Linked DNA regions of Coturnix japonica. The protein of the gene in region 3 interacts with the protein of the main gene of each other region in a biochemical or structural test. Links are inferred from orthologs where the notes say so. Each region holds a gene or a part of one and is shown on either strand. Other genes may lie near its edges.

Region 1 (5,656 bases), on a different chromosome or scaffold from region 3:
CTTCTTAATAGGAATCACTACCAAAAGTGATTCAATTTGAAAATATGAACATGTTTTTGTTTTGTTTTTTTTAAGTTTTCAGCAATGTAAGAAACTAAAAGGATAAGAGATTGCAGTGCAAATGTAAGGGCATTTTTTCTTTAATTGGTTTGGCATACTAACGTACTATTCCCCCTCAGCACATAGAAAATGGCATGGATAGTTACCAAAACTTAAGTGATTTGAAAGGCTGCACAGAAACCACACAAGTCCCCTGGTCCACAATAATCCCATCATGGGAATTATTTTATTTGCTTATAATCTTTCCAAATATTCACCATCACTACTCACTTCCTTAACTTGCTGAAATGTGTTAGTCTAAGATCACTTGATCTACCCCTCCATTACCCTCACAGTTTAATAGGTAAAATACTGTGTCAGCATAAGAACAAATTAAAGCGCGCACTGTTTGCATGAGGTGAATCACCCTGCTCAAATTAAACACTAATCAACAAGTCGATTGCTTTATTGCTACAAACACTGAAGGAAAAAACAAGGCAACAACAACAACAAAATAACAAAGAGGGAAAAAAAGCAGAAGTGATCACATCTTCCTCTCCTCCCAATTTGCTGTACATTCAACAACAAGGAAAACGCACCTGATTTACACTTCCAAACAATCTTTTCAACCAAATTATAGCAGGTTTTTGCACACAAACAGAAATGCAATCTTGTTTGATATAAATCATAAAACGAATTTATTTAAACAGTTGCCTGGAGTTAAGCATTGAATTGTGCCTCATAGAATCAAGCACTAAAGCTACAGCATCACCTATAGATGCTGCCCTTTCAAATTAATGATTTAACTTAAAATCAGTGGGAAGTCTTCAGCCAAGTAACAAACAGATCAAATGTAAACACGTATGTTTGCTGTCTAACAAACACGTTATACACATCTCAGTCCAACTGACAAGTTCATCATTTGAAATCCTTTTCCCCCCCCCTTTGTTATATAATCTTTCACACCACTGAAGTTGATTTTGACTTCTTAATTTATTTCAATATGTTTTGGCCATTCCCTTAAATCATGCATTAGCAAATTAAATTTTAACAAATGCCCATGAATTTACAAAATAATTTTGCAGCAAGATCTGCAGTACTTACTGCTGAATCCACGGTGCGTTGCAATGAGTTTTCAGGAACACTAACACTGAAACAACACCTCCCCACACAACCGCACCATTTGAGTATAGCTCCTTGGAGCTGCTTCAAATGGATGCAGGACAGGAGGCAAAATGCAAGTGACAGGTAGTAGAAGGGAGAATTCACAGGAGGCTACTGTTTGAGTCCTCCAGAAAGACTCATCAAAATACTAAAGCCAAGTGTAGTACTTTGAATCTCCCACTATAGCTGCTCTTCTCCAATAAGGAACAAAGTGTGTTTATAGAAACAAACAGCCCTCTCCCTGACTTTTAACCACCGAACTTGACTTTTAAAGGACACTGATGGTAGACTATTCTCACAGAAGATGAGAAAACACAATGCATTATTAACAGAAAAGGAAAGTAAACAAAAAACATACTTTTCATGGTTCCATCTTCCTCTTCGTCATCGTCGCTATTTATTACCATGGTCCCCAGGTCTGACTCTAGCATGGTACTGTTGTGTTCAATCATTGTCTGAGCGCCTTCACTCATCGTGCTTGTGGCCCGCATGGTACTAGCACTCTCTGAATTGGTCTTCACCATGGTGTGCGAGTCCAGCTCATCTTCATCCTAAAAGAAACACTGGTCAGAATGCAGCAGAGCATTTCAGAAAACCAAGTTAAGATGCAATAATTTAGATGCTTATTCATTGTTTTTTAATCTCTTCACATGACCTAGCTATACTGCTAGACTAACAGGTTTAATACTACCAAAAGAATGTGAAAATAAAAGGCAACCTATAACGGTAAAAGAAAAAACTTCATCCTATGCCAGCTTTATAGCGCTATTGATTTACCAGAAACATGTCCCACACAATCACTTTTATACCCAGCTTTGAATATCTCACTGATCTTCTGGACTCGGTACACTTCTCCGGGACTAAAAATCAGTAACATGTTTTGTTTGGTTGTTTTGAAGCAGATCATCACACCAAGGCTATCACCCTTAACTAAATAATATGTTTTTTATCTAGTATCTTGACAACAACCTGTCTTGAGAGACCACCATGAAGAGGAGCAATCCCAAGCACAAATATAGGAGCAATCCCAAGGAGATGGATCTGGCAGTGATGGCTGATGGAAGATTTAACATGAGCTGTCAGTGTGTGCTTGCAGCCCAGAAGGCCAACCATATCCTGGGTTGCATCAAGAGAAGGGTGACCAGCAGGTCAACAGAGGTGATTCTGCCCCCCTGCTCTGCTCTTGTGAGACTCCACTTGGAGTACTGCATCCAGTTCTGGGGCACCCAACATGAGAGGAACATGGAGCTGTTGGAGCAGGTGCAGAGGAGGGCCATGAAGATGATCAGAGGCCTGGAGCACCTTGCCTAGGGAGACAGGCTGAGAGAGCTGGGGCTCTTCAGCCTGGAGAAGAGAAGGCTCTGGAGGGACATTATAGTGGCCTTCCAGCACTTGAAGGGGGCCTACAGGAAAGCTGGGGAGGGACCTATTAGAAGGCTATGTAGAGACAAGACAAGGAGAAATGGTTTTAAACAGGATGAGGGTAGAGTTTGACTAGATATTAAGAAGAAATTCTTTACTGTGAGGGTGGTGAGACTCTGGAACAGGTTGCTCAGTGAGGTGGTGAGTGCCCACTCTCTGGAAGCATTCAGGGCCAGGCTGGATGGGGCTGTGAGCAACCTGGTCTAGAGGGAGGTGTCCCTGCCTATAACAGGGTGTTGGAACTACATGATCTTAAGGGTCCATTCTAACCCATTCTGCGATTCTATGATTTTGAATCGATGTGCCAGGAATGTAAAACAGAGAAATAATGACCATCCAGTTAATGAATTATTAATTTTATATGGAATATCAATATTTGAAAATAGTGTTGGGAAATGCCATTCATTTTTGCAGTTTGATTTCAACCATGTGCACAACAGCACAGCACTTCATGAATGCATACAAGCATTTTCTACATGAGTACATTTTTAATGCTTCTCTCATTGACTAAACAAGAAATAATGCCCACCGCTGTCAAGACACTGTATGCCAAATTTCGAAATTTTACATGTAAATACTATGTTCACTGATTTTATAAGCTTCCCAATCCAACTGAAAACAGTCATGTATGTACACATTCTCTCTACTGTAAATGAACTTCAATTGCATCCTGATACAAAATATCTCTGGTTAGGAAAGTATGCTCATATCATAAAAATATCAGGTAACATTATTATGTGCCTATTACAAGTAACATGCCTGTTGTTACACAGAACATTAAAACAAGATTTTACCCGAAAACTAATTTTTCCTTTTGCTAAATATGCTTCATATTTTAACTACAGAACAACCTGTAAGGAGTGCAGAAAGAAAGAAACCCAGTTACCCAATTCTCCAGCTCTGGCCCTTTTTATTTCTCACTGAACTAGCTCTTTTCCCTTCCTGTTATTCCCTGACATGGCACACAACTTGCCTGTTGTACAAATGGAATTGCAAGGAGCAGCTACACTGTATGAGTGCCTGTTTCACAAATGGGTAGTCAAAGTAGGTATGGAGAACCATATTTAGTAAGAGTACCAATAGACCAGCTCCTACAACAAGTTCTGTTATGTCTTGGCCCAGAGACACAAAAACAGATCTCACTTGGATTCAGAATCTAGCTAACAACACAGTACGCTGAAACCAGGATACAGAGCAGATTTGAATAAACTGTCAAATACCAAAAGAATCATAGCTTCCCACATTATAATTTGTAAATATTTCAGAGTTCTTAAATTTCATTTCTAACCTGCACACTAAAACACTCTGTGTAGCACCATACCCTTAAAAACTCAAGATACTCCTAAAGACGGACAGTTTACAGATACAGCACCAGATGACTGTGTCTGTAAATAAATAGGAATATTTTAGTAGTGCTCCTCCTGGTGGCAACTTTGATTTTCCTCTTTTTTTTCTTTTTTTTTTTCCCCCCCAGTTCACACTTATCTCACTGCTTTCTATATTTTTCCCTTCCCAAATGGTTATTAGGAAGCCAAAGTATTTTCCTCTAATATTCTCTCTCTCTCTTTTTTTTGCATTGTATTTGAGAATTGTCTAAAGTATTTATTGATAAGTGTTTCTTTCAGTAATGCTGTACAATGGAAAACCAAGTGAGAACATACTGCTTTTTATCTTAATAAACAATAAAAATGAAGCATCTCCAATACAGAGAAGCAGTTGAGATTAAAACAGAGTTAACAGCTGATGTACATGTTTGCTTGACTAATATCCACACAGAAAAGTTGAAAGCAGAAAGGAAATACATTTTCCTGAAGCTTAAATTCTCTCTATATTTTTTTTTACAAGTGGGGAGAAAGAAAAAAAAAGAAGGTGGTGACCACCAATATGAACAAGTAAAAAGTGAATTAATAAGTGCCCATTTTAAGATCTTCTGGTTTATTAAAAATGCTGATTTTTTAAGTTCCTGAGCCAAATCGAGCATCTGGATTCTTTCAAGGAATAATATTTCATTTTCCAACCTAGAGTGACAAATGTCTTTGTTTTACTATTATCTTTCAGCATAGAGAACAGCTGTCACCCAGTACCTGGAAGACTGAGGATGACAAAAGCCAGCCTCAGTACCAACAGAATTGTGCCCAAAAGGGATACATACAAAAATTCTGATCTTGTTTTCTCTAAATTAGAAATGAGATACTGAAGGAGAGCAATATAAATTTCTTCAGAGCCTGTGTACATTTCAAAATAATCAATGTTGTAGATTAAACCAGGTTGCTTCCAGAATTATTCTTCCAGTATTGCTCACAAGTATGAAATTTAGCTAATACTACAGCAGATCATACTGGACCTGAAAAAGTAACAGAATACTCCTATAAAGTTATGTAAGTGTGTGTTTATATGACAGATGAAAGTGATTCCTTAGAACAAATTATGATTCATACTTTACAGTTCATAAATATTGATGTTGAATTTCTGATTTGTTATTAAAAAGGTAAACTCCTTGATTAAATAAAAACAAATACAATATTCATTTTAATTACCAAAGAATATAAAGTATTAAAGCTGAAGCATCATGTTCTCATACTGTTTATGAAAAGAGATCCAAGAATCAAGAAAGAACAGCTAACTATGACTTTAAACTATCTGCCATTCCCTTGTGCGCAACTAGTATCATTTGTATTTCCTAGAGGTTTCTGATACATGTGAGTAAGAGGGCTAACATCTCCTGAAATGCTAAAGGAATTTTAGTCAGCCGCAGCTGAGCAACATTATATCCCAAAGTTAGAACTTGATTTCAAACTAAAAGAGGAGAGACTTAGATTGCATATAAGGAAAAAGTTTTTTATTATAACGGTACTGAAGCACCAAAACAGGTTGCCCAGAGAGGCGATGGATGCCCTATCCCTGGAGACACGAAAGGTCAGGCTTGATGGGACTCCAATCAACCTGATCAAGCTATAGGTGCCACTGTCCACTGCAGGGGAGTGGAAAGGGACCATTAAAGGTCATCTTGTCTAAAACAACACTATGATTC
Region 2 (5,656 bases), on a different chromosome or scaffold from region 3:
GCGCAGAAGGGAGGGGACAAAGGCATCTTAACCTTCTTTTGACTATTTGAGCAAACTGAAATTAATAAAACACAACCTTTGTTGAAGAAGTATGTCTGACCTCAAATCAGAATCTAAACCTCAAGGAGCTTAACTAATATGCTTAACTTGGCAAAGAACAGGATTTCTTAATGCAGTCTTATTTATTGGTAACAGATAAACAAGCCATTTGTGTAACAATCCAGGAATCAGACTATTCAGAAATGTCACAGCAGTGAAGACAAAGCACAGAACAATTCATACAGCACACTGCTACATTTTTTGTGTTTGACACCACTGTAAAATCTATTTTTAAAGAAATCAAGGGGTTTCAAAAGAGAGAGAAAATCATACATCAAATTACACTTATGCCAAGTAACTTCAGCAGCACCAACACATGCAAAGGTTAAATAGTTACTTAAGAACAAGATACAACAAAGAACTTCCTGACACTACCCCTCCACCTTTCCTCCACACTGTTTATTACCCATTAACAGATATCAAACTGAAACACACATCATTTTCACTCAGATTTCCCACCTACCGGGACTGTCTTTGGCAACAAGACCTTTGGAAAAGTCACTCGGTGTAGGAGACGTCCGACTGTCCCTTTTGGCTGCATCAAGGTTGTTACAATATTCCCACCTCTTCTGCTGAAGTTCCTGAAGCCAGTAGGTCATATCCTGACGGGTTGCAGCCTGCAGCACAGAGAAGCAGAGCAGTAATGAGATCAGTCCATCTCTGATCTCTGAATCTGCTAATTCCAAGCACAATACAGAAAGAAACATCTCTTAGCTGGTCTGCAAATTATGATTATCCCAATCAAGGATGATCTAAAGGAAATACCCACTAATGGACTCAACACACGCTGTGCACGTACCCTGACTTCCATACCAAATCCACCTTCCCATAGTAGTTGCAAGCAGGTTTTTTTTCCTCTAGTATCAGACTCAAGCATTAGCGAACACAGCAGAGTGCTACATCTCATATACAAAGCACTGTTGGTAACACAGCAGAGTGCTACATTTCACATACAAAGCACTTTCAGACACAACTACAATTCCACATCACAGAAAAAGCCCCATGCACAGAAAAATTCCTGTTCTCCTTACTTCGTTTTCTTTGCAACCAGCAGAAAGCAACAACATAAGAAGGTGCTGTGATGCCACCTACTTTTGTAACTAAACCTACTCACTGCGTTAGTTGATGGTACCATCATCACCTTCTATAGGGAGGGTGTATTAATAATACATACAAACATTTAATCTACAAGCCTACATTCACCATAATGACCAAACATCTTTAAGCTTCAGCCTGAATCACATCTGCAGGAGTCATGTCAAAATGTGTCAAATCATGGCCTACAGATACCAGTAAGAGACTCAATGATGGCAAATGGCACTGCAGGTGCCTCCTTCAAGAGTTATTTTTGTTACAAAATATACACTCAACATCCAATCTAGAACAAACACTCCACAGTGGTAATATGGCATGTTGAGGAGTACAAAGTTAACACTGTGAACAGACACTCACCTGAGTCCTCAGCCTGTAAGGGACACAGTATAGCAGGAAAACACTAGTGGTAGGCAGATGGTAGGACTGGATGGTCTTGGAGGTCTTTTCTAACCTTGGTGATCCTATGGCCCTAAGCACACACAGGGCTTAGCTTTCAGCTGGTCTTTCTCCTAACTGCTCCCCAAGGGCCTGGTAGCATTACTAATAAAAAAAACCACTGCCTGGGCAAATGGCTGTTTGAGCTTCAGACAAACTTCATTTCTAGAAGCTTCCTATTCTGTTCAATACAACTGAAAAGGACGCCTACGTAGGGCAGAGCTGCAAAAGAGTGAAGGTGCCATTTCCTCTGCACAGAAATACCTTAAGTGCTGGTTAGAAAATCAAGATAGTAATTCCTGGAGCTGATGCTGCAGATCTTCTCAGCAGATCAAAGGCACAACACAGCACAAAATACGGGAATCTGAGCAAGTAAGCACAAATATCACAAACCAAGCAGTGAAATAAACCAGTGACACAAGAGGACACTGCAGGTTCACCTCCCTCAGTTGGTATGATATAGGTGTAAGCAACACACACCTGCTCCAGGACGGAACTGCAGTCTATTTAGTCTTCCCTGCTCACAGGCACCCAGGGGGAAAAAGTATTTGCCTTAAAGAAGAGAGGGGAAAAAAACAGTTTAAATGTGTCTGTGAGGCCTGCCAGGACGTGTCAGAGAATCAGAACACTGCTCAGCCAACACACACAGACGTCATGGGCACTTCTGGAGTGACCGGCACAGTAGGACCTACACAACCCACACACCCAGCTGCACTCTGCAAAGCATACGTGCTTCCCTTCCACCTCCAGCACCAAAGGATTTCCTCTGGAGGTTTGCCCAGCAGCAAGTGTCAATTTCCAGTACAGCTGAGAACCTATACTTCCTTTAGAATTGCACACAGGCCTTGCCCACTTTACCGTGCTCGAGCTCAAGCAAACCACTGAGTCCTCAAAGAGCTTCCACTAACACAGGATGCAACACGTAGGTGGTTCTCTCCGCTACCACAACATCGCTAATGAGGCAACACAATGTATACCTACAATTAACTCCTGACCATGACTAGTTCAACCTAATGAGTCCCGCTAACATCCCGTGCCATTACCCACTTGCTAATGCTGCTTAGTAAAACCAAATTCATTTCCTTGGAGCTGCGGCTTGCTGTTGCTTTCCAATTCCCATTTACACCTGTTCTCTGTTAGACAGCAAATACAAACCCTATTAAGCGATGGCACTGACACACGGGGCTCAGCAGGCACAGTCCTGCAGTGTAAAACAGGACCACAGTGCACCCTGAGTCTCACCCTCCCTGTTTTAAGTCATCTTCTCCAGGGCTCTGTCACCCTGCTGCTGCTGCAGCCCACTTGTTGCTTGACCTTCCTTCCTCCAAATACACGGCCTTCCTTTTCTTTGTTATGGAGATTTCTGCTTCCTTTGAACACTTTTGGCTGAGTTTTATGCAGATATCTTAATTATTTACTTTACAAGTTAAAGAATTATAAGAGAATCCTCCTGTTAAGATGGCCTCCTGTTTCAATAAAATTGTCTTTAAAGATCATATTGTTTGAAATTGACAAGATATTTTTCTTTCCAAACATCAAATGGAAGGCAAGTTTCCTTCTTCCCCTCCTCCTAAACAAACAACAGGGAAACCTGCAAACACTTAAACACAGCCATTCCATAAACAATTAAACACAGCCATTTCACCTGTCAGAGAAGGGAACTCTCCCACGCCTGCCTCATTTTCATGGCTTCTCTCAGCATTTGGCTGCTGGTCACCATCTGAGACAGAACATGCAACCAAGAGCCACACCGACCAGCCCTGGCAAGGAACCTCCAGTTGTACTCAACTACTGTGTGGCTCTTCAATGAGACAGAGCCACAGCAGGCAGTGACATTTCAAGGGAGGCATCTTTTGCAGGAAGAAAACCACCATAAACAGAATATAAGGAAGGATGCAGTAAATGTCACCTCTGTACAACATAACACATCCGTATCTGCAAGATGACACCCATTAGTTTTGACAGGGCGATACCCTCACAACAGAACAGGTCCTGAAACAACGTAAAGAGAGTTCACATCTTAGAGATGTACGAGGCCTCAGACTTACAAGATTGTCATCTGAACTGGAACTGTCATCTGAACTGGGGCCTGACAAGGAACTGCTATTGCCAACTTACAGGTAGCAGCAGCAGAAGGGAAGGTAACTAAAGAGAGACACAGTTCTGGCTGTTTTTCAACAGAAATGATGGAAAATAGTTATCATTTACTTAAAACCCTCTGCTCCACATTGCATGAAGGATGCTGCAGGACCTGCCTTCTTCCAGGGCATACATAACACAAACAGCCTACAACAGGCTACTATAGCTCCTAACATCACAAACGGTGCACGAGCGCTCTGTTATTAATCACTGCCTCAAAGATCACTGACGAACTGGAGCAGAAGCTCCCACCTCGCTCTAGTTTTGATGAATTTGGTGTCTGATCCTTTCAAGGACTTGGGCTCCAAAATGCACTGCATGGAATATCAACTACTTGGCCACTAAATCTCCAGAAGGTTGCTGGTTTATCTCCTTAATTAGTCTGTGTCGTTGCCTCCAACTCACCCCTCTCCCCACAGAACTCAACCATGTGAGCAGATACAGAGCATCACCCCACATTAGTGTTTCATTGCTTCAGGAGCAAGTGAACAACATCACTGGCCACAACAGACACTACTTTACAAATGAGTTTAGGAACAAAACTTGCTTCAATCAGGCTACAGAACAAGATTGCTTTTTTGTCAGACTGCTATCAAACTGAGGAACAAACCACAAGCATATCACACTGTCCTCAGTTCCCACTAAATCACAAAGACTGAGCAATCCAGATGATGAAATCACTGCATTAACAAAAAAATGAGGCATTATGAAGAAATAATGCATTCCTGAACAGCACCATCACTGCAATCTGGAATTCTAGTTGCTTATTTCTTACTGCTCTTCTCAGCTGAGAAGACACTGAATGAGAAAGAGCAGATCATGAGATCTGGAAATTCTGAACAAGCAGCAAATTGAGGAAAATAAGGCATGTGAGTTAGAGGGCGAAGGCAACATTTCATTTGATTTTCTCCCTCGTGCTCTGTGCGCAATGTTTTCTTCATAAACGAAACCACATTTGTTTTCAACAGGGACTGGATCAGACGGTGGTTTGTTTTTCCTATCCCAAATTCATTCCTATTTCTAGCCAACTTAGCTACGGTGTATTTTTACAGGCCCTCAAGATCTACCATGCTGGGTAGAAGAAAATTACTTCCAGCCCCCAAAGCTAAGGCTTTGGATTCACCCCTGGTGAACCACACAGCTGCTGAAGGCCAGTTGGTCCCTAACATCTCTCACATTTTATCCTTGTTCCTTATTTATTATGTAAGTACTTATGATGTGATACCATTTTTAAAGGCAACCACTTGGCTCCTTCAAGGCAAGTGTTGAAACAATATAAGGGGTAGAAGAGGCAAAATTACTTCTGCATGTTACATAACTGACCTTGGCTTTTCTCAGTCTCCATAAGGGAAATGCAGAGAGCTTCAACTCACAGCAGTTCTTTCCCAAAGAGTACAGCAAGAAACCATCAAGGAAAGGAAGGGCAGAATAATGTCCCAGACTAAAAGGTACCACAAGAACAACATTAAAAAGGAAACCTCCTGTTGCTTACACTTGTGCACAACAGCTGAGGCCAATGTGAGCCCTGTGCCTGGGGCTGCTGCTGCAGCACTGCTGCACACGGGTTACTCATGGCACTATGTGCCTTCTTGGAGATTTCCATAGCAAAACAAATAACAGCAATCACACAATAGCAGCTAAAGAACAAACCAACCAACCCCTACACCAAGTCTGCTGCTTTAACTTCTGCAAGACGAACGCTCAGAGTGATGTGTGGGCTCACATAAAAGGAATAAACACTTTGATTATGGCTATAGGACAAAAAACCAAGCTGTTTTTACGAGTGATTACATGCAGAACTGCTGAGTGCATCGCTCGGCTTTACCAGGTATACTTCTGATGATCACCACATTAGTTTTCCAGCTGGATAACTTATTTACTCCTCAGC
Region 3 (7,272 bases):
GTGACTTAATAAGTCCATCTTAATGAAAATCAAGAAGAACGGAGGCAGACTTTGTTACCTGTGAGGTCAGAAGGCACAAGGTACTTCCTTTTGTCTAGATCAGGTACTCTGGCTTTTGGTGCTTTTTCCACAATTACCTGATGAGGTAGAAAGAGAAAGGCTATGGGCATCATTAAAGGAAATGAACAAAAGAAACAGAAGTTGAAGAAGACAATACCCTTTAAGAAAGCTGGTGCTACCAGGCCTTTAGAAATGTCTTTAATCCCTAAGAAATACACAATAGTAAAGAATAGATGGGTCAGAAGACAGCAAATCACTGGCAATATCTGTGCTGGGAGCTCAAGACTTTAACAGTAAGCACAATGAGTTAAAAATGGAAACTGGAATAAGCATAAAAATAAACTGTAATTGCCAAGGGGAAAAAAAAATAAATCAGGTCACCTTGATAGTCTTAAGGCAGGTTAATTTTGTATGAAGGAGCTACCAGGAGGCTACTACACAAACACAAGTCAATTGAGCTGTTTCCAAGTTACAGTTCCAAACTGCCTGACACAAAATCAGCTCCAGTCCCAGTAGTCCCACATCCTAATTTTTACATTCGCTCACAGTGATCTAGAATGAAGCAAAGAATTAAAGGAGAAGTTACAGCTTACTGAAGAAGGTTATTTTCTTCAAATTCACAGTTCTTCAGTAGTTATCTTCTACTCTGAAATTCATATCCCTTAAGGTTATTTCACAGAATGGCTTGGGTTGGAAGGGATCTTTAAGATAACCTAGTTCCAACCTCCCTGCTATAGGCAGGAACATCTCCTACTAGACCAGGTTGCTCAAAGCTCCATCTAGCCTGGCCCTAAAAGCCTCCGGGGAGGGGGCATCCACAACCTCTCTGGGCAGAATGACCTGTTCCAGTGTCTCACCACCCTCACAGTAAAGATTTTCTTCCTAACATCTAGTTTAAATCTATCCTATTCAATTTAAAACCAGCCTCCCTCATCCTGTTGTTCAACATCCTTATAAAATGCCCCTCCCCAGCTTTCCCATAGGCCCCCTTCAGGTACTGGTAGGCCACTGTAAAGGTCCCCCAAGAGCCTTTTCTTCTCCAGGCTGAAGCGACCCATATCTCTCATCCTGTCCTCACAAGAGAGGTGTTCAGGCCCTCTGATCATATGGCCCTCCTCTGGATCTGCTACAACAGTCATTATATGACATAGAAAAGCATAAGTTCAGTAGCTTTAAGGTCAAAGAGATCTTCTGCTACACACAATTTCTTTTTGTTACCAGAGCCAGGCAAAATTCCTATCTCTGAAATAGGAACTATTCCCAAGTGACATGAATATGAAAAGGCTTGGAAACCTTTCCAAAGCTTGGTGACACGTTTCCATGGAAATACTGTGTGCATGTGGAAAGAAAATGCAGCCACTGGTAGGTTTGTTTTTTTTCCTGGTATGTATTTTTGATCAAGTAGAGAGATATATTACATGATTCAATCTATGTGGCTTACTGTTCTTCAGAAACCATTTTGACCTTCCCTGAGACACTGTGAGACTAATTTCTAAGAATCATAGAATTGCTCAGGTTGGAAAAGACCCTGAAGATCATCACATCCAACCGCAGCCTAACCATAGTACCCTAACTCTAACAACCCTCTGCTAAATCATATCCCTGAGTACCACATCCAAACGGCTCTTAAACACATCCAGGGATGGCGATTCAACCACCTCCCTGGGAAGCCAAAATCAGCAGCTGTGTCAGCTGTGCAATAGTAAAGGCTGGACTGTTGTGCTTCGTGTTTCCTTCCTTCTTTGGAAGGAAAATGGTGTTGTCACATCAATGAAACAGTACACCAAAGGAAAAAGACATGATAAGCTTTGTGTATTAACTTGGCATGGCACTTTTTCCAACCAAACACTCCTCGTTCCAGATTCAAGTATCCACAAAGCATGTCACACAGTAGAGATGCTGGCTTGGATACCTGTATACTCTTCTCCATTTAGATGCCTCCAATGCAGCCAAAAGCCCTGAAAATTCTAGGTTTCTTCCTAAAACACAAACGTAGTTTGCTAGTTCAAGAACCTCAACTACTAGGCAACTGAGCTCTTTCACACTAAGTTTGTGTTAGGACATACATTTCCATACAAGATAAAATTGACAAGTGTTGTGAAGGAAAGGTAGTTGCACAACCTCACTACACAGCTTCAGACTGACCAGCAACAGTACTTTGCCTATTTTCTTACCCTGAAACGCTACATGGTAGCATCAAATAAACTGAAGTAGAAAAAAAGCCTTTAGTTTTTGCTTTCAATTTAGAAGATTGGTAAGCAGAACTGTCAGGTAGCAACAGTGACAGGACCAAGCTGACTCAAAAGGATGGCATGTAGCTTAGTCATTAGATAAAGGAAAAGAAGATAGGGGGTACCTTGATTTATGAGGACAAGGTGAGCTCTGAGGATTCTAAACCCCTAGAAAGGATTCAAATTAAATAATCAAGTTTGAGACAGATCTCCCTCTTGCAAAGAGGGAAAAATGGAGGTGTTTTCCTAGATAATCAACTGTAGTAAGTTTCCCTGATAACCCAGGCAAGGTATCTCTTCTAAAGGTTACTTTGCACAGAGAGACAAACTTACAAAGACAATCCAAAGGGCAGATATATTATCTTGATGTCTGTTGCTGCTGGGTGACTGTGGTAACAATGGACTGGGCCAGCATTATAATTTCAGCAAAATGCAGACATATCACAACAGTGAAGTGCCAGCAGCCAATGGGACATTGCTGTCAAGGATCCTACTGTCGTGAAGGGCAGTGACAGAAGTGATTAAATACGTCTGTTGCACTCTGTGCAGCTCTGACAACAAGCCTTCCCCAGCAATCCACACCAGGCCTCTCCAAGCAGTGTTTTCACTTCCCCTTAGCTGCAGCACAGCTCACTTAGTTTGATCCTGTTTTTGTCCATTACACTCTACTAAAGCCCCTCTGTCTTGGCATTTTTACTCCTTGCCAGACCAGGTCTGTTGCTGGGCTCTCCACATAGTTCTTCCAGTCACTTCTATCATGACCTGCTGCATTACCTGCCACTCTCCTGACCAGCTGAGCCTGCTGTGGCCGTCATCTCAAAAGACAGACCTGCATACACTGCATGCTCAATTACTCTCATCCTACAGGGAAAAGCTCAGGTGAAACAGTTCTTTTGCACACTGCACCTCTGGTCACCCCAATCTAGGACAGAACTCTCCAGTGTTACAAAACAAACAAAATAAACCCTAGTGTTACTATTTCTTTTTGCAATTATTGCCACAAATTATAAAGCCAGGAGTTTTCCACTGAGATTCCAGACAGTCCTAAGGACAAGAAAGGAAAGTTCAGCTCGAAAATGATCTTGTTTTCCAAATGATGCTTTTTGGGTGATTAAAGAGTAGGGAAGTAAGACTGGGAATTATTATTGAGCATCCATCTCTTTTTAACTCTCATGCAAAACACAAAGCTGAAAAGAACGGAGCTGGACTACACTGAAAAGCAAGCTCCAAAAAGAAAAAGGTATAAAATAAAAACAAAACATCTGATAACAGCGATTTAGGCCTTTTTTTTTTTCCTTACAGAGAACGCCTGTTTCACACATTCATTGTTCTCCTCCATTTTCCCAGAGCAAGTCGTAAGCTCCTTCCCCACCCTCCAGCCCCACACGCATAGGCTGCCATAATAAGATTAACAGCGTTCTTGCTGTCGAATTACTGCGGATGCCCGAAAAAGACCCCCACACCCACCCACGGACCTTGGCGTAGAACAACAAATACGGTGGCACTAAAGAGAAAGCAATCCGGAATTAATACCGACACGCCAAAGTCATCTTTCCCAATCCCGTTCCTTGCAAAAGAAGCAAAGCAGCAGACGGCAACGACAAGGACAGCAAAGAATGGCGACATTTGCACAGCCAGCCCGAGGGCAGCGCTCGTCCAGCACACTCACAGGGACTCTGTCGGGGTATTTCTTCCTGATTTTCTCCCCTTCTTTTTTCCTGTACTCGAACGGGTGGTCTTCCTTGTACTGGAACTTCATGATGCGACACAACCGAGCCGGCCACTACCGTCCCTCCGTCACCTATGACCGGGCACTCAGCAAACCCTACTACGCCCGCGCAGCGCACGCAAACCCAGCGCAGCGCAGCGCAGCCCCGCACTGTGCTGTTGCGGGACGTCACAGCGACATACCCTCCCCTTCCGGCACTGTCGGCATTGCAGCGGGGTGGGGGCACTGTCTCGTGTGTGTGTGTGTGGGGGGGGGATGTGCTGGGTCTTTGTGTTTACATTCGGTTACTGTGCTTTTCGGGTTACCTAATGGTAACAATTCTAAAAGAAAGATCAAAAAATCCACAAAAACACAGCCACCAAAATAATGTGCGTGACTCAGGGGTTACCCACGCACCACCGTCAGAGGTGTCCCCGTCCAATGAGTCTCTTCTGTACGTGGTTGTGATTGATATAGTGTGCGTGTAGTATTACGGACTGGAAAACGTGTTGTAAAGCTGTTCTGTTTTGACAAGAGACCCTCAGCAAAAGAAACGCAATAATGAAAGCTGAGACCTCCACATGAGGCCAAATTGTCTCCTTCTCTAGGTGTCAAGGATTTCCCCTCTATCCTTCTACAACCCAGTATATATTATTAAAAAGAAGTTAACACCCCGGTATATATCACTAAAAGACAGGTTGCCAAACTTATCTCTATCCAAGGATGAGCAGATGTCCAGAAATAATGGCCAAGTGCTGAGTGAGCAAATGTTACAATTTTAGTACCTATAAATTACTTACAATATGCGTTATCGAGCATGCATCAGTGAAGAAAGTTCATCTAGAGGACAAGTGAGGAAGACCACTGGATGAAGTAAAAGACTGTCAATTGGACTGCCATGATGCTAAAAGGACACTAGACAGTAGAAGAGACCATGGAATAGAAGACTGGAAATCTCATCCATCTCTACCTGTGTTAAGTGTGTGTAAGTTAGTTGTCTCAAGTATAATTGATGAGTATGTACTATCTGTGGAAATATAATGGATGGGGAATCATGTAATCTTGGAAGCACTTATGGTGGAAGACGAAAGATGGATGCTCCATTGCAATGCTCTGTAAGGGCATCGTGACAAAATAGTAAGTAATAAAAATAATATCAGGAGAACAGGATCAGGAAGAAGCCCTGGTCCTTTTCTAGAAATACTCATACACATCTTTTAGACTGCTCCAAGAAATTCGTACTTCAGACATTAATGGTTTCTTTATCCCTATATGCTTATACACATAAGTCTTGCCTGAAGGGAAGGAGTTATCCCAACACTGGGAAGGACCTACTGCAAATCCCCACAGCAGATTTAGGGTGCTAGTTTGTGCTCTCTGCCCTGGAGAGAGCTGTTTATCATATATTGCCCACCACCCACCTTTACACTCTATAGCCCACTGCTTCTTGAATTCAGAGGTAATGCTCTCTCCAAGCCGTGGTGACTGTGATCTCTCATCATGCATGAAGGAGAGATATGGAGGAAGTATATTCACTTAGAAGCAGATATGGTCTGACACTGGCAGGTGATCTTGCCCAGTGAAAACAAACGGGCATGAGACAGAAATCTCAACTACACTTACAAATCAGGTATTTGTACTAGAGCCTGTCACCTTAAAATGCCTTCATAGTGTAAGGTATAAACAGGCATGTTGGATGTGATTTTTCTCACCTGAATAATGGCATCTATTTTTGGAGGGCTAAAATGTGTCCAGGTGTGTCCCCCCACTCTACCTCCAATCCCCCAACAGCCCACCCCCTCCCAGAGAACTCTGGCAGATGTTTTAGTGCTTAAGTAGTTACATCTCCACATGATGCTGTGACCTCCAAGTATATGCCAGATTCTCCTAAGGGTACAGCAACCCACGGTGGGAATGGCATGGATCAGTGTGTCCCAGCCTTCAGTATTTCACATACACGAGGTTAGTACAGGAAGCATCACTGACTTGTTTCTCTCTTTCTCTCTGTCATTAGACATTGGAGCATTTCCCCATAGTTGCTGGTAGTGTCAGAGGATCTCAGAAGGGTGACTCAGTAAGCGAGGCACTGATTTTGTTCAGGCCAGGCGAAAAGGCTGCCTTCATGTCGTAGTGCTTCTCTGTAACACCTACATTTGGCCTCCTTTTTGCTTCCTAGTTGCCTGCCACATAGCAGTTGCTAAATCCCCACATCTGTAGAGACGTAGTGATGCGTTCCTCAAGGACAAAGGAGAGGAGGCAACTGTATACGAGATAACATCTAGCTTGAAATTCTGTAACAAATCAGAGAGTCTTGGTGTTTTCCTCTCCTCTGATGCCAAGACACGACCCACTTCTCCTCCCCACAACAAATCCCACGTGACGATCGCAAATCCCATTGCTGAACTCCAGCCCGCTGACTCAGCCCGGACGCGCCCCGACAAGGTCGTTCCTCCCCCTTCCCGTTCCTCCCATTCGGGGCTGAGTTCGGCTCCGTCTCCTACAGCTCAGTTAAAAAACAACCGCGGTTCTGGCTCCTCGGTGGGCCGGAAGATGATCCATGCGGCAGCAGTGACAAACAACTAAACATCTGACTTATAGTTCTTATTAAAATGTCAACCCATGGGCATGTGACAAACCCCACATTAAGGATCCGCGTGCTGGAGAGAGGAGCTGGAAACTGGATTGGTTGTTTTTCTTTCTCTGAACAAAAGGCACAGGCACAACGTAGTTCATAAGAATTACAGCCACTGCCATTGAACCAGACTGGTGTGTCAGTTTCACAGGCACAACGTCAAATATCCCACCAGTTTTAAGGCTTTGTTCTTTTTCTTTTTAAATGTTAAGAGAAATATTTACAACTAAAATGTGTTTTTGTTTTTGTTTTTTTCATTTATATCTTAAGAATAGCACGTATTTTATGAGGGCTGTTCTATGATGTTGACCCATAACATCAGAGGCGGATGTTAGTGGTATGACAGTGGAAGTGAAACCTTCCCACCAATATTACAAACAGTGTTACTGTGCTCTTTGTATCAGCTGTAATTTCTATGGAAATAAATAGGAGGTGTTACTTTTGGAGCAACCTATGCGGCCCAAGACAATTTATCTTCACTGACTGCAGCCCAGGCAAGCCAAAAGCTTTGACACCCATGAAATCTAGTGTCTGTTTGTCTGCTTTTACTTTTATTTCCCCCTAGTCTGGTACTTTATTATATCCCGTGGGCTTCAAGCATCTGATCAGTTGCAGGAGTATTTTCTCTGAATTCATTCATC

Evidence for each region. The genes of interacting proteins can lie anywhere in the genome.
Region 1: the proteins of GABARAPL1 (region 3) and STK3 form a complex in vitro, tested with the Homo sapiens proteins (2 studies listed by BioGRID and IntAct). The link is inferred for Coturnix japonica from reciprocal best matches to the Homo sapiens genes GABARAPL1 and STK3.
Region 2: the proteins of GABARAPL1 (region 3) and TBC1D2B form a complex in vitro, tested with the Homo sapiens proteins (2 studies listed by BioGRID and IntAct). The link is inferred for Coturnix japonica from reciprocal best matches to the Homo sapiens genes GABARAPL1 and TBC1D2B.

What each region holds. Positions count from the first base shown.
Region 1 is NC_029517.1:115,653,478-115,659,133, forward strand, and holds part of STK3 (serine/threonine-protein kinase 3), read right to left. Parts: intron 1,755-5,656; coding exon 1,562-1,754; intron 1-1,561. UniProt on the Homo sapiens protein: Stress-activated, pro-apoptotic kinase which, following caspase-cleavage, enters the nucleus and induces chromatin condensation followed by internucleosomal DNA fragmentation.
Region 2 is NC_029525.1:3,045,530-3,051,185, reverse strand, and holds part of TBC1D2B (TBC1 domain family member 2B), read right to left. Parts: intron 717-5,656; coding exon 563-716; intron 1-562. UniProt on the Homo sapiens protein: GTPase-activating protein that plays a role in the early steps of endocytosis.
Region 3 is NC_029516.1:70,388,904-70,396,175, forward strand, and holds the start of GABARAPL1 (gamma-aminobutyric acid receptor-associated protein-like 1), read right to left. Parts: upstream 4,190-7,272; 5' UTR 4,051-4,189; coding exon 3,961-4,050; intron 138-3,960; coding exon 59-137; intron 1-58. UniProt on the Homo sapiens protein: Ubiquitin-like modifier that increases cell-surface expression of kappa-type opioid receptor through facilitating anterograde intracellular trafficking of the receptor. Involved in formation of autophagosomal vacuoles.